Oryctolagus cuniculus: one gene and its partners. The protein of the gene in region 1 interacts with the protein of each later gene in a biochemical or structural test. Links are inferred from orthologs where the notes say so. Each region holds a gene or a part of one and is shown in the gene's direction. Other genes may lie near its edges.

Region 1 (3,500 bases):
GACAGGCAGAGTGGACAGTGAGAGAGAGAGACAGAGAGAAAGGTCTTCCTTTGCCGTTGGTTCACCCTCCAATGGCCGCCGCGGCTGGCGCGCTGCGGCCGGCGCACCGCGCTGATCCGATGGCAGGAGCCAGGAGCCAGGTGCTTTTCCTGGTCTCCCATGGGGTGCAGGGCCCAAGCACCTGGGCCATCCTCCACTGCACTCCCTGGCCACAGCAGAGGGCTGGCCTGGAAGAGGGGCAACCAGGACAGAATCCGGCGCCCCGACCGGGACTAGAACCCGGTGTGCCGGCGCCGCTAGGCGGAGGATTAGCCTAGTGAGCCGCGGCGCCGGCCTGTAAATATAATTTTTAACGGTTTATACCTGGGCCGGCGCCGTGGCTCAATAGGCTAATCCTCCGCCTTGCAGCGCCGGCACACCGGGTTCTAGTCCCAGTTGGGGTGCCGGATTCTGTCCCGGTTGCCCCTCTTCCAGGCCAGCTCTCTGCTGTGGCCAGGGAGTGCAGTGGAGGATGGCCCAAGTCCTTGGGCCCTGCACCCGCATGGGAGACCAGGAAAAGCGCCTGGCTCCTGCCTTCGGATCAGCGCAGTGTGCCGGCCACAGCGCGCTGGCCACGGTGGCCACTGGAAGGTGAACACACGACAAAAGGAAGACCTTTCTCTCTGTCTCTCTCTCTCACTGTCCACTCTGCCTGTCAAAAAAAAAATGGTTTATACCTAGTTATTTTATCAGTTACTGCTTCATCCTCCATATTATTGTACTTTTCTAGATTTAAATTAAACTCTGGAACTTTATAAAACAATTATTTCAGTAGAAAATGAGTTTATTATGTTTTTTAATATTAAACACTTCCCTGAGTTCTTTTCTGTTAAAGATACAACTAGACCAAAACGAGATTATGAGGTAGACGGAAGAGATTATCATTTTGTGACTTCAAGAGAACAGATGGAAAAAGATATCCAGGAACATAAATTCATTGAAGCTGGCCAGTATAACAACCACCTGTATGGAACAAGTGTTCAGTCTGTGCGAGAAGTAGCAGAAAAGGTAAGCATCACATGAATGCAGAATATGCTGTTCATCAGATATGCCTTTGACAATATGAAAGAATTACAGAAACTTCTAGTTCTTACTTAAAAGGATACAAGATGGATGATAGATTGATTACTTTTAATTCATTGAACTAAGTAATTTTAGGTGGTTTAGAAAAAGACATACAAGTTTACATACAAGATAAAATAGACCAAAAAAAAAAAAAATGGGAGTAGAAAGAATAGCACAAATCTAAGAGGGGCAGTTGTTATTTTAAGACCTTTTGCTAGAGACAGACCTGTCTTTGGTCCTAGCTTTCCAGCATTTCATGTAATTGAGGAACTAAGATCTGCAGTATCCAACAATAAAAATTATTGAAATGTTCAAGATAAATGTAGTTGCTGCTGGTATTGAGATTAGACAAAAGTTTCTCCTCTGAGTCTTCATTTAAAAGACAATATAGGCCGGCGCCGAGGCTCACTAGGCTAATCCTCCGCCTAGCGGCGCCGGCACACCGGGTTCTAGTCCCGGTCGGGGCACCAGATTCTGTCCCGGTTGCCCCTCTTCCAGGCCAGCTCTCTGCTGTGGCCAGGGAGTACAGTGGAGGATGGCCCAAGTGCTTGGGCCCTGCACCCCATGGGAGACCAGGAAAAGCACCTGGCTCCTGGCTCCTGCCATCGGATCAGCGCGGTGCGCCAGCCGCGGCGGCCATTGGAGGGTGAACCAACGGCAAAAGGAAGACCTTTCTCTCTGTCTCTCTCTCTCACTGTCCACTCTGCCTGTCAAAAAAAAAAAAAAAAAAAAAAAAAGACAATATAGCCAGCGCTGCAGCTCACTTGGCTAATCCTCCACCTGCAGCACCGGCACACCGGGTTCTAGTCCCGGTCAGGGCGCCAGATTCTGTCCTGGTTGCCCCTCTTCCAGGCCAGCTCTCTGTTGTGGCCCGGGAAGGCAGTGGAGGATGGCACAAGTCTTTGGGCCTTGCACCTGCATGGGAGACCAGGAAGAAGCACATGGCTCCTGGCTTTGGATTGGTGCAGTGCGCTGGCCGTAGTGGCCATTTGGGGGGTGAACCAACAGAAGGAAGACCTTTCTCTCTCTGTCTCTCTCCTTCACTAACTCTGCCTGTTAAAAACAAACAAACAAACAAACAAACAAAAAAACACCATATATATATGGTGTTCGATGGTGTGGCATAGCAGATAAAGCCACTGCCTGCAACGCCAGCATCCTATTTAGGTGCTAGTTCAAGTCCTGGCTGCTCCACTGCCAATCCAGCTCCTTGCTGCTGCGCCTGGGAAAGAAATGGAAGATGGCCCAAGTGCTTGGGCCCCTGTACCCACATGGAAGACCCGGAAGAAGCTCCTGGCTTGGATTGGCGCAGCTTCTGCTGTTGCCGCCATTTAGGGAGTGAACCAGTAGATGGAAGTTCTCTCTCTCTCGTGTGTGTATATATATATATATATGTGTGTGTGTGTGTGTGTGTGTGTATACATATATATATGTGTGTGTATGTGTATATACACATATATGTGTGTGTGTGTATAATCTGACTTTCAAATAAATACATGTTTTTTAAAAATTACAAAGACAGTATTGGACAGGTGTTGTGGGACAGTAGGTTATGCCACTAGTTGGGGATGCCCACATTCCATACCAGAGTGCCCAGGATCAAGTTCCACCTCCACTTCCAATCCAGCTTCCTGCTGTTGTGCCTGGGAGGCAACAATGATGACTCAAGTACTTGAGTCTCTGGCATTCATGTAGGAAACCCAGATGAAGCTCTGGGCTCCTGGTTTCAACCTGTTGCACCTTGGCTGTTTTGGGCATTTGGAGAGTGAACCAGCATGTGGAAAATCTCTCTCATAGCTCTGCCTGTCAAATAAATAAAAACGAATAAACATTAAAAAAAAGAATCTGACTTGAACAACAATATTAACATTTAAAAAAAAAAACAGGAATTCACAAACAACAGCAATAGACTTTCTGAAAGCATCTTTTGTAGTCATCTGGTGAAATGGTGACACTGGGTTAAAAGTTTTATAGTGAAGCTAAATCAATGTCATAGTGCTGTTTCTTAAATCTTTGGGCCTAGAAAATAAACATTGTATACCTTTAAAACTTAGAGTTTAAGTCTCAATTATGAAATAGCTGTAACAAAACATAAAGCAGTAATAAGTTTCCCATATATAAATGCTACTTTTCTAAAAGAAGTTTGTTCTAATTTAACATTTTTAGAAAAAGTGCATATGTCCCAGAAGTGAAGACAAGGACTTGAGAAAATGGAAATTTTTAGGTAGTTGGGATATAAATGAACATAACTTCCTTTGACAACAGTTGGGCAATACCTAATAAGTGATTCAGAAATTCTACTTATTCATGTCTAGGTATACATATATCCACAGTAGCACCTTATAATGTGAAAAATTGGAATCAACAGAAGGGAATGGATAGTCAACCCTCATTTA
Region 2 (2,315 bases), on another chromosome or scaffold:
CCCTCCCAACATGTTCCTGGGACCCTTGGGCACTGGAACACCCAGACACAGCCCGGGCCTCCTCCTCCCTCCACCCGCAGCACCTGGGCCATCGCCGGTGCTGGAGGTGTGAACCCTGTTAACAGGCTGGTCCCGTGCTCTGGCCCCAGGCACCAGGCGTGTGGCCTGTAACTGGAGCTGCTGACCTTTGCCGGTGGGTGGAGGAGAGGTGGCAGGGAGCGGCCATCCCGGCCTAGCACTGACCAGGCTGCTTCCGGCTCACGTTGTTCTCAGCTGGGAGCAGGGCCAGGCCTGCGGAGGGCTGCGGAGGGCAGCGGGCTCCCTGTTGCCTGACATGCCAAGGGTGGGTCCCCGAGGCCTCAGCGTCTCCTGGGGTGCTAAGTGGTGACTTCCCTCCCTCGGCCTGCCCAGCCCACCCCTCTGGCCACCACCCATCTCGTCCTTCCCCGGCCCCTGTGTGTGAAGCTTCCTGCCCCCTTGTCTTCAACACTGTGCCTTTTAGACGAGAAATCAGGAGCCCCACAGTGGGTGACATTCAGGGTAGGCTGGGTGGGATGTCTGGGGGGAGGCGGGGTCATTGCTGGGAGCGACAGGGAGGTCGGGGAAGAGAGGACTCGACCGAAGCCAGCGGGGACCAGGTGCTGAGGGTCACCTTCTGAGGGGCATCTGTCGGGCAGAGTCCTCCAGGTCTGAGCCTGAGCCCATCGGGTGGGACCCCCGGCTCCAGGGCCCGGCCCTGGCGGGTGACTGCATCCCAGCCCCACTTCCAGTTACCTGGTGATGCCGTTCATGGGCACCGACCTGGGCAAGCTCATGAAGCACGAGAAGCTGAGTGAGGACCGCATCCAGTTCCTGGTGTACCAGATGCTGAAGGGGCTGAAGGTGGGGCACCCGGGCAGAGCAGGGCGGGGAGGCTCTGTGGCCCTGAGGCCCTGGGACGCTGACCCCTGCTGACCCCTCTGTCTGCAGTACATCCACGCTGCTGGCGTCATCCACAGGGTGAGTCCTGGCTACGGCCTCCAGAGGGGCCCAGTCCCGTCTCCACTGCTCACCCGTGAGGGGGTGCGGTGGGCTTGGCGTGGTGCACACGACACCCCATGCATTGCTGCTGGGAACGTGTCCTGGGGACCCAGGCACCTCTGCTCTCCTGGACGGGCTGCAAGGGCCAGGGAGGCTGGGTCGGGCCTGGCGGCCCCTGTGTGGGTGCCGTCCAACGTCGGGCCTCGCAGTGGCCACCTGTCCTCTGCCTGCAGGACCTGAAGCCCGGCAACCTGGCAGTGAATGAGGACTGTGAGCTGAAGGTGCGAGGGCCAGGGGCCTGGGGGGGGGGGCTCCCTCACCATCTGCCCCCAGCCTGGCACCTGGGCAGGGGCTGAGCAGCTAGCTGGTGGGCGAATGGGCCCTGGGTGGTCCCTGAGGGGGTGGCATCGGGCACGACGCCCCCATACCTGCGTCAGGGCGAGCGTGGGAGGTGTTCCCAGTCCCCATGCCTGACCCAGGGCGGGGCTGAGGAGGCCTCCAGGAAGACGGGCAGGGGTTGGCAGAGCAGGGAGAGGAGTCCAGGGCCAGAGCTCCCGGGTACTCCCAGGGAGGGACCCTGGGGTGGTGCTTGCTGCCTTGGGCCCAGCCCCCTGGGGGTCTCCCGGACCATGGCTGGCCTGTGCATCCCTTAGGGGTCCTCTTAGTCCCATCTCTCTGATTCTTCCCACAGATCCTGGACTTTGGCCTGGCCAGGCAGGCTGACAGTGAGATGACTGGCTATGTGGTGACCCGGTGGTACCGGGCCCCCGAGGTCATCCTGAACTGGATGCACTACACACAGACAGGTAAGAGGCCACCCAGGGACACGGGGGCCTCCCAGACCACACCGCTTCGCTCCATGGTGGAGGCCCCGCCCCCCAAAAGCTGTGTGTTCTGGCGGAGCCGGGTGAGGGCGTGGGCCTGTGCTACAGCCCCTTCCTCCACCCCGGGTGCTGATGGGGTCTCGTCTCAGTGGACATCTGGTCGGTGGGCTGCATCATGGCGGAGATGATTACGGGGAAGACGCTGTTCAAGGGCAGTGACCGTATCCTCAGTCGTGGGCTGCCTGGCGGGCGGGGCCGGAGGAGGTGGGTGTGGCTCCTGCTCCCTGTCCCCTGTCGTGCTCCTGAACCCCAGTGCAGACCTGGACCAGCTGAAGGAGATCATGAAGGTGACAGGGACGCCTCCGGCCGACTTCGTGCAAAAGCTGCGGAGCGCTGATGTCCGTATGGAGCTGGGCGGGTGAGGCCAGCTGGCCTGGGGGCTGCCCCTCACCCTGTCTTCCCTGGCAGGCC
Region 3 (4,270 bases), on another chromosome or scaffold:
CTACACACATTGCATACACTACACACACATCACACCACACACATCACACACACCAGACACATCACACTCACATACACACACACCACACACATATAACACACACATACACACACTCACATATACATCACACACACCACACACACATCACACACACCACATACACAACACACAACATGCACACATCACACACCACAGACACACACACCTGACACACACATCACACACACCATAGACACACCACACACATACATGCACACCACACACACTCACACACCACACACATATCATATACGCCACATACACCAGACACACTACACACACATATACACATCACACACCACATACACCACACATAACCCCTACATACACCATATATACCACACACACACACACCACATACACCATATACTCACCACATACACCACACACACCCTCCACACACACCCTCCACACACATACACCACACACACCACATATACCATGCACACAGACACACCACACACCACATACACACACACCACACAAACACATCACATACACATACAGATGCACCACACACCACACACACATATACCATGCATTCCACATACACCACAGGCATACACTACATACAAACATATACACGATGCACACATATACCACACACACACCACACACACAAACACTACACATACACACATATACCACAGACACACATACCACATACACACCTCACAAACATCACACACACCACACACATACACCATACACACCACACACCACACTCACATACCACAACTCACACATATACCACACACACACCCCACAGAGACACACATACACCACACTCACATACCGCATATACACACACATCACACACACCACATACACCACACACTCACACCACACACACCACACACCACATACACCACACACTACACCACACACCCCACAGGGAGGTCGAAAAGGTAGGAGGGCAGATCCAGCCGGGTCTGCCGCGGCCTTTGCCCTGCCCGGCCCGAGCGACAGGCACCCCCTGCTGTGGAGGTCACTGCCCTCTCCGGGCGAGGTCCCTGCAGCCCGGTCCCCAGCATGCGTCCTCCGGCGGCGGCCTCGGATGAGCCTGCGGGCGGGCCCGAGGCCGTGAGACGGAGCCGACCCCCAGGCCGGCTGGTCAGCTCAGGGGCCAGCGCGAACCCCGGCGCCGAGGGCCAAGTTCAAGCCCAGACGCTACGCCCCGGCCTCAGAGCAGAGGAAAGGCCGCGGCGGCGCGGGGCGCAGGCCGGTCGAGCACGAGCGCGGGAGGCCACGGCTCCGGGCGCGGAGGTCAGCGGGGCGCGGCGCGGGGAAAGGGTCCGCGCCGGGGGTGGGGGTCCGGGCGCCTGGGCTCGGGCCGGCGCGGGGCCTGGGCGCGTCGGGAGGCGCTAGGGCCCGGCGGACGGGTGGGCGGCGAGCGGAGGGCGGGCGGGGCCGGCGGCGGCGGGAGCGGCGCGGCGCCGGGCTGCCTCCATCCATGGCCCGGAGCGGCGGCGGCGGCAGGAGCCGGGCGCGATCCGCTAGGTCCCAGCGCAGCGCTGCGGGAGCAGGCGACGCGGAGAGGCCGGGCGTCCCGCGGCCCCCGAGCCCTGCGCCGGGAGCCGGGCCGCGCCGCCGAGGGCCGCCCAAGCGGCGCTGACAGCCGCGCCCGCGTCCTCCCCGCCGGGGCGCTCTCAGGACATGCCCCCGGGGCGCGGCGCCGGGGACCCTGGGGCTCGCCTCCGCGCAGGGCCCCCCGCCCCGCCCCCGGGCGTCCCGGGCCCCCGCTGAGCGCGCGTCGCGCACGCCCGGGTCCCTCCCGCCGGCGCGCAGCCGGGCCCCTGCGCTGTGGGTCCCCGCGGGGCGATGGGTTGATGGGCGCCTGGGGACGCAGGATGCTGGGGGCGCCGGCGCGCCTGCTGCTGCTGCTGCTGCCGTGGCTGCTGCTCCTGGCGCCCGCGACTCGGGGCGCGCCGGGCTGCCCGGTCCCCATCCGCAGCTGCAAGTGCTCGGGGGAGCGGCCCAAAGGACTGAGCAGCGGCGCCCCCAACCCGGCGCGCAGGAGGGTGGTGTGCGGCGGCGGGGATCTCCCGGAGCCGCCGGAGCCCGGCCTGCTGCCTAACGGCACCGTGACCCTGTAAGTACTTCATCCGCACCGGTGGGCGAGCGGAGGGCCGGGGACGGACGACCCCACCTCCCGGGTCTGACTCCGAGCGCCAAGCAGGGAGACTTGGGTTGGGGGGAGACGGGGACTCCAGGAGGGTGGAGGGAGGCAGGCGCCGGCTCACCTGCACAGGTGAAGCGGCACGTGCGCTCACGGGACGCCCACGCTCCCCAAGTGTCCAGCTTGGGCTAAGGTTTCACCCTTCCGGGACCTGAGAGACAGGGAGCTGGCAAGGTCGACGCCCGCGGCCCAGGAGGCGACCGCGTCCCGGACCCGACAGGGGGACTCCACCCGGCTTTACCGGGCGGGTCCGGCTCCTCCGATCCGGAACAGCCCGTACGGCTTTGGGCGCACCAGCGCGCTCCCGGCCGGGTCTCCGCGGGGCGGGCGGAGGGTGGGCTCGGAGAAGCCGGTCCCTGGAATGCGGGCGCTCAGCCCTGCGGGAGGCCTGCGTCCCTCTGCCCCTTCTCGCCCTCGCCTGGAAATGTCTCCGCGCTGGCTCTGTCTGGATTGACTCCGCGCAAACCCTACGAAGAGGGAAACCCGGCTGAGGGGAGGCGGGCGCCTGCCAGTCTCCTTCCGCAGTTCGCATCGCGGCCCGGGCCTCCTTCAGCCCTGGCCTCGCCGGCGGCGAGGGAGCGTGGCCCCGCGCGCGGGCCGACCCCTCGCCTCCCCCGCAGCGCGACCGCCCGCGCCGCCCACGTGCTGGGAGCTCCGCGCGCGCCGAGTAGGGACGGCCGGGGGGCCCAGGCGACCCCTTCCTTTCCCGTCCCCGGTCTAGCCGCACAGCCGTTTCCCCTGCCCCGTCCCCCTGACCCCGGTGGCCCCGGTGTCTCCACCGCCCCGTGCCCGCAGTCGGGGCTGGCTCGGTGCGCTCGATTGTGTCCAGAACAATACGGGAACGCCTCTAGTTGGGGGCGCTGAGAGGCTGCGCGCTTCCTGACAGGACGCAACTGGTCAGCCTCTGACGTGGGCCGCTGGCCTGCGTTTTCCGCGGCTGGGCTGTCCGTGTGCGTGTGCGCCTCGGGGGGTGGAGGCCGCCCGTCGGCTCGCTCCAGCAGCGCAGGGCTCTGGCGATCGCCCACAGGAGCTGCCACCTGTGGCTGCCCAGGCCGGGTGCCTGTGATCGCCCACTTGGTGTTGAAGGGGCCAGGCAAGCCTGGGCATTCCTCAGCCCACTCAGTTCTGCGGGAGAAAAATGCTGGCTGCGGTGGAATGGCCGGGCTGGTTCCGTACGTCCCGGCTGCGCCAGAGTCAGTCAGCCTTGAGTGGGTGTGTGTGTGTGCATGTGCACATGTGTGTGTGCGTGCGCTCTGTGGCTGTCCTCACACACATGTGTGGGATGCTGTCTCTGTTTGCTGGAATCCTGACATAGCAGAGGCAGATGGGGGGGGGGGGGCGAAAGGTGGTTTTTGCAGTACATCTTAGAATCATTTGGCCCCTAATGCTTTCCAGCTACAGCTAATTCCCCTTGCCGCTGCTCCGAGGAGAGTCTGGGGCCAACTCTCGGTGACACAGTGGCAGCGAACTGGACTCCTCCCTTGCCTTCCTGTCCCTCGCTCTTCCCAGGCCGGGGACCCAGCTGCTCCAGGACCTTGCAAAGCAACAGCTCCCCTGAGCCTGGGCAGACAGTCCCACAGGGACCGTGTTCGGGGCTGGCCGGGAAAGCCCTGGGAGCCCGCTGGCCCATGGGCCCGGAGTGTGACGAAGGCCCCAGCTGTGGACATGCCTCTTAGCTGCCAGGATACCCAGGGCACCACTAGCTGGGAAGAGACCCCCAGGGTACTCAGTTGAGAAGCCCCTTCTCACCCCCCTCCATGCATCCTGCCCGCCCTGCAGTCTGAGGGCCAAGCAGGAGGCAGCGTGGGTTTTGCCTGGCGGATCTTTCGTCCCCTGTGCTCCACTGAGGACCCCTTCTCGCCCTGCTCCCCACCCCCAGACCCATGAATCCTTGGGGTTCCACCTTGGGCAGCCCGGCAGACACGGAGTGGGAGTGTCGGAGCCTGGGGACTGTGCCCGCGTAGAAGCTGCTGCCCAGGGAAGGCCCTCAGGAGGTCAGAGGTGATGTGGTGGACAGTCTTGCTTTCCTCTCCCAAAAACCCTTCCTCCACC
Region 4 (3,500 bases), on another chromosome or scaffold:
TAGTCTTACTATCCAGAGTGCTAGTAGTAGAAGGAATGCTCTCAAAAGAGAGAGTGTTGTGCACAGTGGGTTAAGTCACAGCTTGGGAAACCATATTTGATACCAGAGTGCCAGTTCCAGTCTAGGCTACTCTACTTCTGATATGTGTTCCTGCTAATGCACCCTGGGAGGCAGCAGATAATGGGCTCAATTACTTGAGTTTCTGCCAACCATGTGGAAGACATGAATGGATTTAGTGGTTTCTGGCTTTGGCTTGGCCCAGACCTGCTATTGTGGCCACTTGGGAAGTGAACCAGCAGAGAGCTCTTTGTCTCTGTCACCCTGCCTTCCAAATAGGTAAATAAATAAATCACTTTTCTTCCAAAAAAAGAAAAAAAGCACTCAATGACATCAGTGAATAACTGAACTGTGAATAATTATAAATAAAGCCTTATAAATAAAAGGGTGAAATACTGAACTTTAGCAGAAAACTTACATAAAAAAGTAAGCATTTATTTTATTTCAAAAAAATCCATAAAATAAATCAAGGATTCAATTTTATTTCCTGATGGTAATTGTTTTAGGCTGGGGGTTGATGTTTTGCTCATAGCATCACATGTGATGATACCTGGATTTAAGTCCCAGCTCCCTCTTTCCAATTCCAGCTTTCTGATAATGTGCAGCCTTCACCCTGGGAAACTGCAGGTGATGGCTCAAGTACTTGGATTTCTGCCACCCATGTAGGAGATTTGGATTGTATTTCCGGTTCCTGGCTTCAACCTGACCCAGCCCTGGATATGTTTGGAGAATGAGCCAGAAGATTAAATACTACTTTCTGTCTCCCTCCCGATCTCTTTCTGCCTTTCAAATAAATAAAAATTATATTAACAAATGGGGTATTGTGAACAAAGACATGCTTGCAGGCTTAAACGTCCAAATTCCTGTAGTTGGCCCCGTATTTGCTCTCTGCCTCCAATTTCATCAGCTGGCCTAACTTTATGCTCTAAAGAATAAAGGAAAACAAATGTATTGAGCACATTTGATGTGATAGTGGAAAGCCATTCAGGTGAAACTAATGCAGTCTCAGTTGGCCAACTCTTAGCTTGTCCTTTCCTGGGAGTAACAACTGGCTTTCCCTCCAGGTGTGCTGAAATACCTTATGCTGGCCTAAATAACTGTATATGAAAGGTCATATCCTAAGCCTGCCTTCCTTTCCTACTGATGCTCATCCTCTCTGAACATGTTCACCATCCCATAAACTTGCTAGTTAAACTAAGTTTTCCATTAAACAATTTGCTAAATTTCTCACAGAAAGGACACATTAAGAGGGATAGATTAAAATGAATAATGTTGGATTGTTTATCTTGTTAGCTGAGTTCCTTCTGTACTATTCAAGTTTTTTAAATTTATTTTTAGATTGTAGTGATATGCTAGATGGGTGAGTGATAATTACTTTCCAGCTTAATGATATGTGGCTTAAATTTTCATTTTTAAGATTGAAATCAAGCAAGAAATCAATTAATTGACTAAGTATTCACCAGTCTACTCAATGCAATAAACATTGCATTATCCAAGGGTTATATCTGGTGGAAAAATGACTTCCATGAGGCATAAGAATTATTTTGACTCATTTCAATCTCTTGAATTTTTTTCTGAAAGGAGTTTTTTTAAATGACAAGTAAATGTAGTTATTTTGACAGATAGATTTATCTTAATTCTATTATTATTAAGCTAAAAGTTTTTAATTTGCCTCATAAACCAGTTTCAGGGTATACCTGAGAATAATTTCATCTTAAATAAGAAACGTTTTCCTTGAATACTTTCATCTTGAATAAAAAATGTTTTATTGCTCTTCCACTTTGCTATTTTCTTTAGAAAGTGGCTGAGATGCAAAAATATTTTTTGAAACATGAAGTTTACACTGCTGTAAATAAGATTTAAGTATACTTACATCAATGTAGTAAGTCAGCATAGCTAATAAAACATTTCCTGTCTTCCTGTTACCACACAATGCATTAATTTTTGTGAATCTACTATTTGAAGAATACTGACCAAAGCTCCATGTTCATGTTGCAGGTGATGGAAGTCAAAGGACAAATGATCCATGTCCCAGAGTCAAGCTCCATTTTATTTTTGGGATCTCCATGTGTGGACAAGTTGGATGAACTCATGGGCCGAGGACTACATCTCTCTGACATTCCTATTCATGATGCCACCCGAGATGTCATTTTGGTTGGTGAGCAGGCAAAGGCTCAAGATGGCTTGAAGAAGAGGATGGACAAATTAAAGGCAACTCTAGAAAGAACTCACCAGGCCCTGGAAGAGGAGAAAAAGAAAACAGTGGATCTTCTTTATTCTATTTTTCCTGGAGATGTAGCCCAGCAGTTGTGGCAAGGGCAGCAAGTGCAGGCCAGAAAGTTTGATGACGTCACCATGCTCTTCTCTGATATTGTTGGCTTCACGGCCATATGTGCCCAATGTACACCCATGCAAGTGATCAGCATGCTGAATGAACTGTACACCAGATTTGACCACCAGTGTGGATTTTTGGATATTTATAAGGTAATGGAGCTCAGTTAATTGTATATAGATATTATTTAATAGTAAATTGTCATCTAATTAAATTGTGAGTATATGTTTTCATTTGATAGTAAAAAAAAATCAGCATTTTTGTAAGTTAGAATTCTCTCTATAGAATTCATGTTTTTTTTTCTTTATGAGCATTTTTTTTTGGTCAGTTTATGGCATGACATAAGAAACTGTGAATCGGGCCAGCACCACAGCTCACTAGGCTAATCCTCTACCTGTGACGCCGGCACCCCAGGTTCTGGTCCCAGTCAGAGCGCTGGATTCTGTCCCAGTTGCTCCTCCTCCAGTCCAGCTCTCTGCTGTGGCCTGGGAGTGCAGTGGAGGATGGCCCAGGTGCTTGGGCCCTGCACCCGCATCGGAGACCAGGAGGAGGCACCTGGCTCTTGGCTTCGGATCCGCGCAGCGCCGGCCGTAGTGGCCATCTGGGGGGTGAACCAACAGAAGGAAGACCTTTCTCTCTGTCTCTCTCTCTCACTGTCTAATTATGCCTGTCCAAAATAAATAAATAAATAAAAAGATATAGCAAGTTATATTTAAATATGCATGTATTATTAGTTAACTCACACCTAACAGTATTTTACACCTAATTCTCAGTTAAGCCAGATCCCATTAATTCTAAACTAATATATGTAATTATTCTAATTATTGTGCCAGTGACCATTTTTTGTGGAAGTATCTTCATTTTCATATGTACATGAATGGGAAAGTTTTAAAATGGTTGTTAACTATTACTTGCTGGTCTGATTATCAAACTTCCTTTTAATTTCTTATTAAAATCAAAGCAATGTTTTGAGTGATTCAGTCCACATGTCTACCTGATGCATAGCTGCAATTCTGCATATGCTTTCACATAGATTACACAATGTCAGGGTACATGGCTTTTTATGTGAACAACAGCAAGAAGAAACAATAGTGAACCATAGGTGTCTATA
Region 5 (3,500 bases), on another chromosome or scaffold:
AAGTAGGAAAAAGGGGGCAAGACTTTGGAGATAGCTCAGAGGCTGTTAGAGCAGTTTAGTTTTGGGAGAGTTAGTAATTGTTTGGACATAGAATAGTGATAGTGAAGGTAGCTGTCAGATTGGTATATGTGATATTTTGAAAGTAAAATTACAGGATTTACTGACAAAGTGGATGTTGGTATAAGAAAAGAATTGATAATGACTCTTGAACAATAGGAGAGGGTCTATAGTTAGAATGAGCAAGGGATCTGGAGTCAGATTCAATTAAATATCACATATCCATACTTACTAGATATGTGGCCTTTTGCAAATTCCCTAACCGTCCCAGGCCTTGGTTTCTTTTCCTTTAAAATTGAAAAAACTAAAATGTGGAGTTGTTTAGATTGATTAGTTTGACTATACATGTTAAGGCTCTTGGCCCACTGTTTAGACAACATATGATGTTAACTTCCCTCTCCTTTCCTTAGGTGAAGTTTTTAGAGCTAATGGATCCTGAGTTTCACTATTGATCAGTATTTTTTATGTTTGTTTAGTATTGTTAGTATGGAAAAATACTCTGAGTTTCAGACAGGTATTAAGAGAAACCATTCTTGGGCCAGGTGGCCTTGTGATTAAGCTGCCAGTTAGGATGCCTGCGTCTCAGAGTGCCTGTGTTAAGTCCCACCTCGACTTCCAATTCCATCTTCCTGTCAATGTGCACCCTGGGAGGCAGCAGTAACAGTTCAAGTATTTGGGTCCCTGCCACTTCTGTGGGAGTCTTGGGTTGAGTTTGTGGCTTCCAGCTTTGGCCTGGCCTACTCTTCTTCATCATGGGTATTTGGGGGAGTAAACCAATGGATGGGGGCTCTGCTTGTCTCTGTCCTTGTTTCTGTCCATCTGTCAAATAATATTTTTAAAACAGAAAAAAAGAAACATTCCTTTGGAACTCAACTATTTTTGAATTGAATTTTATGATTGAAAAATTAAAAATATGTCATCTAAATAATTTAAGATTAATCATATTTGTGGATTTTCATTTTAAAGTTTTCTCTTCTTTCTCTAGGTGAAGCTGTATTTCACAAAAACAGTAGAGGAGCCATCAAATCCAGAGGCTAGCAGTTCAACTTCTGTAACGCCAGATGTTAGTGACAATGAACCTGATCATTATAGATATTCTGACACCACTGACTCTGATCCAGAGAATGAACCTTTTGATGAAGATCAGCATACACAAATTACAAAAGTCTGAATTTTTTTTATCAAGAGGGATAATGCACCATGAAAACAAACTTGAATAAACTGAAAATGGACCTTTTTTTTTAATGGCAATAGGACATTGTGTCAGATTACCAGTTATAGGAACAATTCTCTTTTCCTGACCAATCTTGTTTTACCCTATACATCCACAGGGTTTTGACACTTGTTGTCCAGTTAAAAAAAGGTTGTGTAGCTGTGTCGTGTATATACATTTTTGTGTCAAAAGGACATTTAAAATTCAATTAGGATAAATAAAGATGGCACTTTCCCGTTTTATTCCAGTTTTATAAAAAGTGGAGACAGACTGATGTGTATACGTGGAAATTTTTCCTTTTGTGTTCTGTCACCAATTTAAGTGGCTAAAAGAGCTTTGTGACGCACAGGTTCACATCCTACCCCTTTGCACTTGTGGCAACAGATAAGTTTGCAGTTGGCTAAGAGAAGTTTCTTAAGGGTTTTGTTAAATTCTAATGCATGTATTCAGGTAAGGGGAATGGAGAGAATGCTTAGAAAGGAATCTTATCTCATGCTGGACTCTGGACCATATACCATCTCCAGCTATTTACACGCACCTTTCTTTAGCATGCTATAGTACTAATCTGGACATTTGAGGATTTGGCCACTGTCACTGCTTGTTGTTTGTGCATTTTTTTAAAAAGCATATTGGTGCTAGAAAAGGCAGCTAGAGGGAGTGAATCTGTTTTGGGGTACAGGAATGAACCTTCTGCAACATCTTAATCCACAATGAAGGGATATAAAAATAATGTGGTTATAGATAGGAAACACAGCAACAATGACTTAACCATATAAATGTGGAGGCTATCAACAAAGAACGGGCTTGAAACATTATAGAAATTGACAATGATTTATTAAATATGTTTTCTCAATTGTAATGACTGCTCCATCTCCTGTGTAATCAAGGCCAGTGCTAAAAGTCAGATGCTATTAGTACCTACATCAGTCAACAATTTATACTTTATTAGTTTTCAATCATATACCTGCTGTGGATGCTTCAAGTGCTGCCTGCAAGCTTCTTTTTTTCCTCATTAAATATAAAATATTTTGTAATGCTACACAGGAAATTTCAATTTGAGATTCTACAGTAAGCGGTTTTTTTCTTTAAAGATTTATGATGCACTTATTCAATCCAGTAGCTGTCAGCCGTCCCACCCTTTTGACCTTACACATTCTATTACAATGAGTTTTGCAGTTTTGCACATTTTTTAAATGTCATTAACTGTTAGGGAATTTTACTTGAATACTGAATACATATAATGTTTATATTAAAAAAAAGACATTGTGTTAAAAAGGAAATTAGAGTTGCAGTAAATTTCAACACTGCACAAATAATAAGGCATATAATTGTTCAGTAGAAATTATCCAACATTTGCTTTATTGATTTGCTATTGAAAGAATAGATTTTTTCATTGTGCAGTGTTGAATCATTTCATAGTGCTAGAGTTGGGACTAGGGCTTCAATTTCTTAAATATCATCATTTATTTGATATTCCCAGACTGCATATGATTTCAAGCAGAGTGCAACTAATATTGTGAAGGTAATGAGAAAAAACTATGAAAAAGGATTTTTTTCCCCAGGAATTTGGTGTCTTTCAAATTATACCTTGACCTTGACATTTGAATATCTAGCCATTGTATTTCTTAATGGTATAAAATCCCATTTTGAATAACTTATTGGTGCTGAAATTGTTCACTAGCTGTGGTCTGACCTAGTTAATTTACAAATACAGATTGCATAGGACCTACTAGAGCAGCATTCATAGAGTTTGATGGTAAATAGATTAGGCAGAACTTCATCTAAAATATTCTTAGTAAATCATATTGACTTTTTCCATACCTCATCAGTTTCACTCAACCAATAAAATTTTTAAATTTTTAACAAAGCTCTTAGAATTTACATGTTTATATTTAAACATTGATACATAGAGTATTGACTGCTCATAAGTTAAATTGGTAAAGTTAGAGACAACCATTCCTAAGATCTCACCATTGAAATTTGTATATCACCTTGTCTTTCATAAGAGCTGAAAATTGTTGACTAAAATGAAAATCAGCTATTCATGTTTTGAAGATATTAATACTGTTCTTTGTTACAGTTTTGGGCACAGCATATTAAAATATAACTTGTATTGTTCCAGTATGTAACATGGAGGGCCAGGTCATAAATAATGACATTATAATGGGCTTTTGCACTGTTATTATTTTTCCTTTGGAATGTGAAGGTCTGAATGAGGGTTTTGATTTTG
Region 6 (3,500 bases), on another chromosome or scaffold:
TAAGAGCAAGATTGATGCTACTGTAACCCATTCTACATGCACCCATAAGAAGCCCAGGAGCTGCTCAAACCTACCAGGAGGCAGCTGCCTGGGCTCTTCCACACTTCAAAGGGTGCAGCATGTGCCTTGTCTTGGCTGCAGGTGTGCGTGGCTCACGTGCATTTGCCCAGACTTGTTGCCTGGCCTCAGGGACAGCAGATGTATGTTTGGGATCTGCTGCTTCAAAGAGGATCATAGACATTTAGCTAATAATTTTTCAAGTTAGTTTCATTCTTAAAGTAAAAAGGGGAGAAAGGAAGTAGAACAGAAAAGTGATGGCCAGCAAATGGATAATACAAGTGTTATTTAGCAATTGGAAACAAAGTGTCCAAATACCTGTAGCCAAAATTGGCAATACACAGGACAGGACAGTTGGGTACCCGGGGGAGACTTGTCCAAAGGGACCAGTTCCTTCCTCAACCTGGTTAAAGGATGTTTGTGCTGAGGGACCCATATTTTAGGGGAGAGGGTACTTATGAGTAGATGTGTAATGTGTGCACTTTGGGTCACTATTTCAGTCACCACAGTTGCCTTCACTTTCTCAAATCCTTTTTGACCATAGGTAAGAGTAGATGTAAATAAAAAATGAAATGATTGGCATCCATGGTGCTTAGATAAAATCCTGTTTCACTATGGCTCAGGTTTTAGGCTCTTTCTCCAAAGCCAGATGCCTTTTAGACACAGTGGTATTAGCCTACATTTCTATTACTGTTTTTAAGGCTAACAAAGGCATTTCTCAAACCTTCCTCCCTCACAGTGTATTCAGTAGCTGTCTGTCTATTACCCAAGTTTCCCCTGGGGTTGTCTTATTATCTCTTCTCTAATGACATGAATTTCTCCGTGGACTGACAGAGGGTAGACTGTGGTCCCTCCATCAGTTACACCCTGTTTGTCCTTTTGTGAAATACCAGGGAGGAGAATTCCCTAAACCCCATCACCCTGCAGGCCCTCAGCCTGTCTGTGTAACTTAACTAATTTTCACAATGCATACAGCGCTCTTTATTCTCTGATTGTCAGTACCTTTCCTGTCTCTTCTGATTTTGAATGTGTGTTTCTGTTTCTAAACTAGATTTGAGAAGAATCACTGCTGGCTTCCTGGGCATGGCGGTAGCCGTCCTTCTGTGTGGCTGCATTGTGGCCACAGTCAGTTTCTTCTGGGAGGAAAGCCTGACCCAGCATGTGGCTGGACTCCTGTTCCTCATGACAGGTACGCTGCACACCTCGGGCCGCCTTTCTCTGCCAAAGTGATGGCTGCTGTGTCTTCGGCCGACTTCACTTTGTCACCTCCCTGTTAAAGTTGCTTCCAACTGTGAGAAAAGCAAGCAGAAGGTCATTTAGCTTGGGTGGGTAATTTGGAATTTCAAGAAAACAACAAAAATGCAGCCCTGCTATCCCCATTGTGGTCTGCTCTAGGTTAGATGGAGGTGTCTTGGATTTAATCTCTGTCTGAGACAGGTTGGTATTTTTCAGTTTTTCATTGCTTACCAGGAGCTCTCCTGGGGAGAGAAGCTGATAGATTATCCTAACCCATTGCTGACTAAAAGTCACCTCAGTTCTGGTCTTAGTGATGGTGTCATTGGCAGCATTTCTATCTACAGGGTTACTCCCAAAAGTTCATGGAAAATGGCACCAAAAGATCTGTTGACCTTGATGCGCGAAGATAAAATAACTTGATGGTATGAATGGAATGTGCTGCCTTGCGAATCACTGAGCACTGGTTGCTCATGGCGCATGTCATCGTATGCATTTCCCATGAAACCTCTATTCAATCCCTTCCACAGTTAGTTCCTTGAGGACTGGAGGACTCGGGCACTGCTCTGTGTGCTAGAGACACACAATAAACGGGGCAGGCAAAATCCTTGTCCGTTTTTATTGTGGGGAGACATACACAATGATTGGTGATGCCGGGAAAAGCTGTGAGGGAATCGGATGAAATAGGGACTCAGAGAAAGCTGTCTTGAGGCGACAGTTTCTGAGGTTCGTCCCACGAAGCAACCGGTCATTGGGAGCGTGCTGTGGGCTGTGGAAGCCACCAGTGCCAACCCAAAGGCCAGGAGCATCAGTCAGTCTGAGCTATGAGAAAAAGAGCAATGGGGTTGGAAGGGAATGGAGCGAGGGATCCATCACAGTGGAAGCAGCAGGCAATGCCTGAATCTTTAGTGCATTCTTGGCCACAGCGAAGAGCCTGGATCTGACACTTAGGGTGATGGAAGCCACTAGAAAGTTTTAAGCAAAGGAGTAACTTGACTCCAATCAAGAGATTGGAAGAGGGGTATGGAGATGTGGTCAGGGTGGTTTTGATGAACAAGTGAAAGATTTTTGTCTAAAAAGGAGTCAAGAGTGGAGTTGATGGCTAATGCTGACTTAAGGGGGCTATAGGAAGAAATCTTTGCTTCCTGTTCCTCCTTCACAAAAATTAGTAAGTGATTAGACGTTAGAGAACTACATTTCACAAAGCAGACGCAGCCTCAGCCCGAGTGCCACCCTGGACAGCCATTTCTCATCTGCCTGTTTCTGGCTCCCCAGAGTGCTGGCACTCAAGGGGCTTGCTGGGGCTCTCTACACTCGGCCCTGTAATCAAGCCTGGGTTAACCCGAGGTGGTGCTACCCGGCAGGACGGACACCACCTTCTGTCTGTCTCTCAGGGCTGGCAGGGAGGTGACACTTCTCTCTCTGGGCTGTTCGTCCCCGCTGTGGCCTCACCTCACCCATCACAGGCAGGGGCTGTGCTTTCTAACTCCCATTCCCACTGGCCCCACAAGCACTCCTTGATATGGTGCTACCACTGTCAGTGACATGGAGTATGGTCGTCTTTGCAAGCATCCCAACAGAACATTCAGAAATCTGGGGGCCCTGTTTAGTTGTGAGCAGAAAAACAGCTTAGCTTTTCTGGATTTTGGTGAATACATGGTGGCTACCAGGGCTGTAGCAAAGGGAGACTAAAATTTTAGTTCCTGGGGCCAGCGCCGTGGCTCACTTGGTTAATCCATCCTCCCATATGGGTGCCGGATTCTAGTCCCGGTTGCTCCTCTTCCAGTCCAGCTCTCTGCTGTGGCCGGGAGTGCAGTGGAGGATGGCCCAGGTGCTTGGGTCCTGCACCCCATGGAAGACCAGGAGAAGTACCTGGCTCCTGCCATCGGATCAGCGTGGTGCGCCGGCCGTAGCGGCCATTTGGAGGGTGAACCAACAGAAAAAGGAAGACCTTTCTCTCTGTCTCTCTCACTGTCCACTCTGCCTGTCATAAAATAAAAAAAAAAAAAAAATTAAAAAAAGAAGCACCTGGCTCCTGGCTTCAGATCAGCGCAGTGCTGGCCATAGTGGCCATTTGGGGGTGTGAACCAACAGAAGGAAGACCTTTCTCTCTGTCTCTCTCTCTCACTGTCTATAATTCTACCTGTCAAATTAAAAAAAAAAAAATTAGTTCTCGAGGTTTTGGGAGAGGATTTAAACTCTCAAAACCA
Region 7 (4,159 bases), on another chromosome or scaffold:
TCCTTTGGGCTGGAAGTTCACAGAATTCTAGACTCACAACCGGAGTCACTTTGTTTAAGGACGTCTCAGGACCCGCGACAACACGTGGCCCCAGAACACTGGAGGCGATGGGACCGGGCAGGTGCCGGGACCCCCTCTCTGACCCATGCCATGGCTTCTGGCTCTAGAACCCCACGACCTGCCCGGAGACCAGGGCCACCTCCAGCAGGCGCGTCCAGCCCGCTCCTCCCCGGCCCCTAGGCACACGAGACCCCCGCACCCCTTCCCCTTTGTCTGCAGGCCGGCATCTGCCCCATCAGAATCAATGCCAGTATCTGGCACCTGCAGAACCGGGGTTCTAGCCCTTCTCCGGGTCCCCTGCATCCCCCCGGCTCGCGCCCAGGGCGTGCGTTCCCAAGGATGCGCGGCCCTCTCCCAGCCCGCGGCCTCCTCCCCTCTCTCCTGCGGCTGCCGCTGCCGCTGCTGCCGCGAAAACCAGAAGTGGAGCGCGCGCGGCAAAGCGCCGCGCTCTCGCGGCGGCACTGGGCATGCTCGGCACCCAGGGCAGGTTTCGGCGGCGGGGCGGACGCTTCTACACTAGCCGGGCGCCCGAGCCGGCCGCGGAGGCATAGGTGGAGGCTGAGGCTGCTGCGCGCCGCGGGAGGAGCCTCGCCCTCGGCGGCGGCGGCGGCGGCGGCGGCACAGGTGGCGCGGGCCGCGCGCGGGGCGCAGCACGGGAGCGCTCGGCGCCGGGCGCCGCGGCGGCCCCAGGCTCGCGCCCGCGGCGGTAGCCGGCCGATCAGAGCGGCGGGCGCGGCGGCGGCGGCGGCTGCTCCTCTACCAGCCCGGCCGGCCCTCCGCGGCAGCGGCGCCCGGAGCCCAGAGGCGCCCCGAGGAGCGCGGGGGAGCCCGCGGAGTCGGGCAGGGGGCGCTGCGCTCGCCGCGCTCGGAGGGGCCGCCGGGCCGGGCGCTGCGCACTCGCGTCGGGAGCCGCCTCTCGCCCGCGGCGCTCGCCCCTGCTCCCCGCCAGCATCGCCTGTCCCGCGGCCGCGCTCAGACAACAAAAGCGGAAGATGCCGCAGTTGGGCAAGGTCAGGACCTTGCCCTGAAGCCGGGCGGCGGCGCGCACGCCTTTCCCCGGACGGGAGGAGCTGTCGCCGGTGGCGGGTGCATGTTCGCCAGGAAGCAGCCGGGCGCCGCGCCGTTCGGTGAGTTGCCTTCTCCGGGCTGCCGGGGCCGGCGCATCTTGCGCCTCGGCGTCTTCCTCCTCCTCCTCGCCGCCCGTGGGGGTTGGCCCTGGGCTCCCGGCCGGCTGGCGGCGGCGGCGGTGGCTGCTGCGCGGTGCTGCCGGCCGCGGGCGCGCCCGGTCCCCTGTCGGCCGACGGCTCTGCCCGGCGCGGGGTCCAGGGCAGGTGCGGTTCTCGGAACGGTTACCGAGTGGCTGTTGTGCGTGCGCCGCCTCCCTGCCACCCATCCGCCCCGAAGGAGGCGTATATAGGGCAACCCGACCATCCTGCTCCCCGCCACCCTCCAGAACATACCCGTGGCATTCATGACGTCCCTAATATACGAGAGAAGACGGGTGGGGGTGGGGAGGACCTCCCTCGCGTCTCCTGCCCTTATGCTCAATGTCATTACGATGTTTGGCTAGAACAAAATGGAAAGACTTGGTCCTACGCGTCCATGGCCGAGTCTTGCGCCTGCCGCCGCCCGCCAGACCGCGAGTCCCTTTTGGTCTATATTTAGCGGCTTCGGGGGAAGCCTTTGCAGCTCGATTCACAGGTTTCGGGAGCTCGCGCGTCCTGACAATAGATCGTGAGGCTCTGGAGAGCGGCGCGCGAGACCCAGGTTTGGGGAAGCTGCGCGCGAGCCTGGGCGGTGCGCGATGCGAGATCTGGGCGATCCGTAATCAATGGCTGAACGCGGCGCTGCTGGGTTTGCTCCCCGACCTTCCTCCTCCTCTGGGGTGCGATGGGTTTCCTGGGCTTGCTCCTCGGCAGCTTTCAGCCACCGCGTTCAGAACCAAGTCTAGACACGGGGGGTGCAGCCTCTCTGGTCTGCGTGGTGGGGAAACAGACTTGGGAATTTTTAGGGTGTGTGTGTGTCTGTGCGTGTGTGTGTGTGTGTGTCGTTCCCACAAAGAACAGTTACTTCCCTAATGCCCAAAGTTGTGTTTCGCTGCAAGTGTGGGGGTGGCGAGGGGTGTGGAAGCCGAGAGAGGAGCAGGTTGCGGGTTCCCTGCCTGGAAAAGGTGCCTCCTTTTGAACTGATGGGATTTGCTGTGGCTCTGAGAGGGGTTGTTCACGTGCATGTCTGATGTTCTGGAGCAGCTAGGTTGGCTCTGAACAGAGATTTGTTTGAAGCATAGAATTGGGCCTGGCTGGCATAGATTTTCACTTTGTGGAACTATGGGACCAATATTTAATATGCTGGGAGTTTTCTGTAACGATTTCCCTGAAAATGAGGAGGTGCCGGAACTACCCGGGAGTTATCTCATTGTGCGCCTTCCATCATCGGTAGCTTAGGTTAGTGGTGGTAGGTCAGTTAATCTCTGCTGTTAGTCATTCGCCTACATAATTGAAAGGCTTCAGAGCATGCCACTTCTAAAATCCCATGGAGAAGTGTTTGATAGGAATTAGAGGGATGAAGCTGTGCATGATTGGGGAGCTTTGCTATAGAAGTATGGCAAATAAGGGAGAGTGTCTTCATATCTGGATTGATTGCTTTGAACTGTGCTGAAATCTCTCGTTAACGTATCTTTGCCATATGCAGAATCCATTGCTAATGTTGTTGGAAGACCTGTTAGGTGATATCCATAGTGGTCTGTGGATTATGAGATGTCAGGGCTTGAATGAATATGATTGCATTCAGAATTTGCTGCTGAAATTTGGGAGGCCCTATCATGATAGCAAAAACAAGTTAGTGCTGCAGAATGATCAGCCAGGTCTCAAGTGGCTCAAGTTAACAGAACACTGGTTAGTTTCACCAATATTGCATTTGTTTCAACTTTATCACATTCAGAGAACTTTCCTAGAGCACTTCAGACATTGTTGTGTTCCTTGCATTCTTTAAATATAAAATATATTTCAAAAGAAGCCATACATGATAGAGACATTCATCTCTTGTTCTGTTTTTCCCCATTTGACTCTAGGGTTTGTTTTAAATGATTCTTAAAGGACCAGTTGATATTGCTCTGTGCCTGTGTGTGCACCAGAGAGCTGTTGATGGACGTAATTAAAACTAGATGTGCATTTTACGTTTTATTTAGATTGAAAATGCTAGTACTGGACTGAGTGGCAATTGTAGTAAGTACAAGATTGTTTGCTCTAAAGACATTGTTGTAGCCTTGCAGAAAGTAGTTACTTAATTTGGTGTATGTCTGTAGTTGTATGGCTCAGTTTTTACAGATGTCATGGATGTTTTCACTATTTGTAATGAGAGTCATGTGCTATCAAATTATGATATTTCCATCCACTTCATATCTTTGCCATAGAACAAAAGCCAATTCTTTCCCCCAATGAAATTGTTCATCAGACAGGAAAAATGAAATTCAAATTATATTAGTTGGAAAGGACAATTTATAGTTTTGTGAAGTAATTTCTCTGGATAGTATCCCTTCATAATGACCTCTAAAATTAAAAATGAAATAACAATATTCTCAAATATTGCATTACTTCTAGCTATAGTTAAATATGCAGTACTTTTTCCCTGAAAATGTTATAGAACTTGCTGTTTGTTGTGCTTTTAAATGGTATGTACTTCTGTGGAATTGCTGCGATTTTGCAGTGTAGTTTCATAAGGTGTCCTTGCATAAGAAAGTACCAGTTACATCTGAAACAATGTATATGTACTTTGTATTGGCCATTATGTTTCTAGTTGTAACTAGTTGCAGTCAATTGAACTAAAATATACTGTTACATTTTGAATATCCGAAGTCATTTTTTTTTCTTCTTCCCTCATGATTAGCCACAAAAGAGGTGAACTTCCAGTTATGGTTGTTTCTTTTTGTGGACTTTTTTTTTTTTACTTTTTTTTTTTAGAGGGAAATTGGTGATGCTACTATCACTTTCCAACATAGATCTTATGAAGGATTCCACGTGGTTGAGAGTACTTAAACTCGAATGCCATAATTCAGACATTGAACAAAAACCATGAATTAACTGGCAGTTAGTTCTAACTT

Evidence for each region.
Region 2: the proteins of DLG1 (region 1) and MAPK12 interact in a test that uses a peptide from one of them, tested with the Homo sapiens proteins (2 studies listed by IntAct, with this or other methods). The link is inferred for Oryctolagus cuniculus from reciprocal best matches to the Homo sapiens genes DLG1 and MAPK12.
Region 3: the proteins of DLG1 (region 1) and ADGRA2 form a complex in vitro, tested with the Homo sapiens proteins (2 studies listed by BioGRID and IntAct, with this or other methods). The link is inferred for Oryctolagus cuniculus from reciprocal best matches to the Homo sapiens genes DLG1 and ADGRA2.
Region 4: the proteins of DLG1 (region 1) and GUCY1A2 interact in a test that uses a peptide from one of them, tested with the Homo sapiens proteins (2 studies listed by IntAct, with this or other methods). The link is inferred for Oryctolagus cuniculus from reciprocal best matches to the Homo sapiens genes DLG1 and GUCY1A2.
Region 5: the proteins of DLG1 (region 1) and PTEN form a complex in vitro, tested with the Homo sapiens proteins (2 studies listed by BioGRID and IntAct, with this or other methods). The link is inferred for Oryctolagus cuniculus from reciprocal best matches to the Homo sapiens genes DLG1 and PTEN.
Region 6: the proteins of DLG1 (region 1) and TMEM178A interact in a test that uses a peptide from one of them, tested with the Homo sapiens proteins (2 studies listed by IntAct, with this or other methods). The link is inferred for Oryctolagus cuniculus from reciprocal best matches to the Homo sapiens genes DLG1 and TMEM178A.
Region 7: the proteins of DLG1 (region 1) and CTNND2 interact in a test that uses a peptide from one of them, tested with the Homo sapiens proteins (2 studies listed by IntAct, with this or other methods). The link is inferred for Oryctolagus cuniculus from reciprocal best matches to the Homo sapiens genes DLG1 and CTNND2.

Annotation. Positions count from the first base shown.
Region 1 is NC_091435.1:83,523,395-83,526,894, reverse strand, and holds part of DLG1 (disks large homolog 1), read left to right. Parts: intron 1-874; coding exon 875-1,047; intron 1,048-3,500. UniProt on the Homo sapiens protein: Essential multidomain scaffolding protein required for normal development. Recruits channels, receptors and signaling molecules to discrete plasma membrane domains in polarized cells.
Region 2 is NC_091442.1:123,206,753-123,209,067, reverse strand, and holds part of MAPK12 (mitogen-activated protein kinase 12), read left to right. Parts: intron 1-770; coding exon 771-882; intron 883-969; coding exon 970-999; intron 1,000-1,253; coding exon 1,254-1,301; intron 1,302-1,711; coding exon 1,712-1,826; intron 1,827-1,993; coding exon 1,994-2,065; intron 2,066-2,162; coding exon 2,163-2,242; intron 2,243-2,312; coding exon 2,313-2,315. UniProt on the Homo sapiens protein: Serine/threonine kinase which acts as an essential component of the MAP kinase signal transduction pathway.
Region 3 is NC_091433.1:87,659,262-87,663,531, forward strand, and holds the start of ADGRA2 (adhesion G protein-coupled receptor A2), read left to right. Parts: upstream 1-1,470; 5' UTR 1,471-1,868; coding exon 1,869-2,131; intron 2,132-4,270.
Region 4 is NC_091432.1:98,475,020-98,478,519, reverse strand, and holds part of GUCY1A2 (guanylate cyclase soluble subunit alpha-2), read left to right. Parts: intron 1-2,055; coding exon 2,056-2,541; intron 2,542-3,500. UniProt on the Homo sapiens protein: Has guanylyl cyclase on binding to the beta-1 subunit. Isoform 2 acts as a negative regulator of guanylyl cyclase activity as it forms non-functional heterodimers with the beta subunits.
Region 5 is NC_091446.1:42,723,183-42,726,682, reverse strand, and holds part of PTEN (phosphatidylinositol 3,4,5-trisphosphate 3-phosphatase and dual-specificity protein phosphatase PTEN), read left to right. Parts: intron 1-1,042; coding exon 1,043-1,228; 3' UTR 1,229-3,500. UniProt on the Homo sapiens protein: Dual-specificity protein phosphatase, dephosphorylating tyrosine-, serine- and threonine-phosphorylated proteins.
Region 6 is NC_091433.1:163,090,557-163,094,056, reverse strand, and holds part of TMEM178A (transmembrane protein 178A), read left to right. Parts: intron 1-1,108; coding exon 1,109-1,246; intron 1,247-3,500. UniProt on the Homo sapiens protein: Acts as a negative regulator of osteoclast differentiation in basal and inflammatory conditions by regulating TNFSF11-induced Ca (2+) fluxes, thereby controlling the induction of NFATC1.
Region 7 is NC_091445.1:41,181,238-41,185,396, reverse strand, and holds the start of CTNND2 (catenin delta-2), read left to right. Parts: upstream 1-1,359; 5' UTR 1,360-1,607; coding exon 1,608-1,827; intron 1,828-4,159. UniProt on the Homo sapiens protein: Has a critical role in neuronal development, particularly in the formation and/or maintenance of dendritic spines and synapses. Involved in the regulation of Wnt signaling.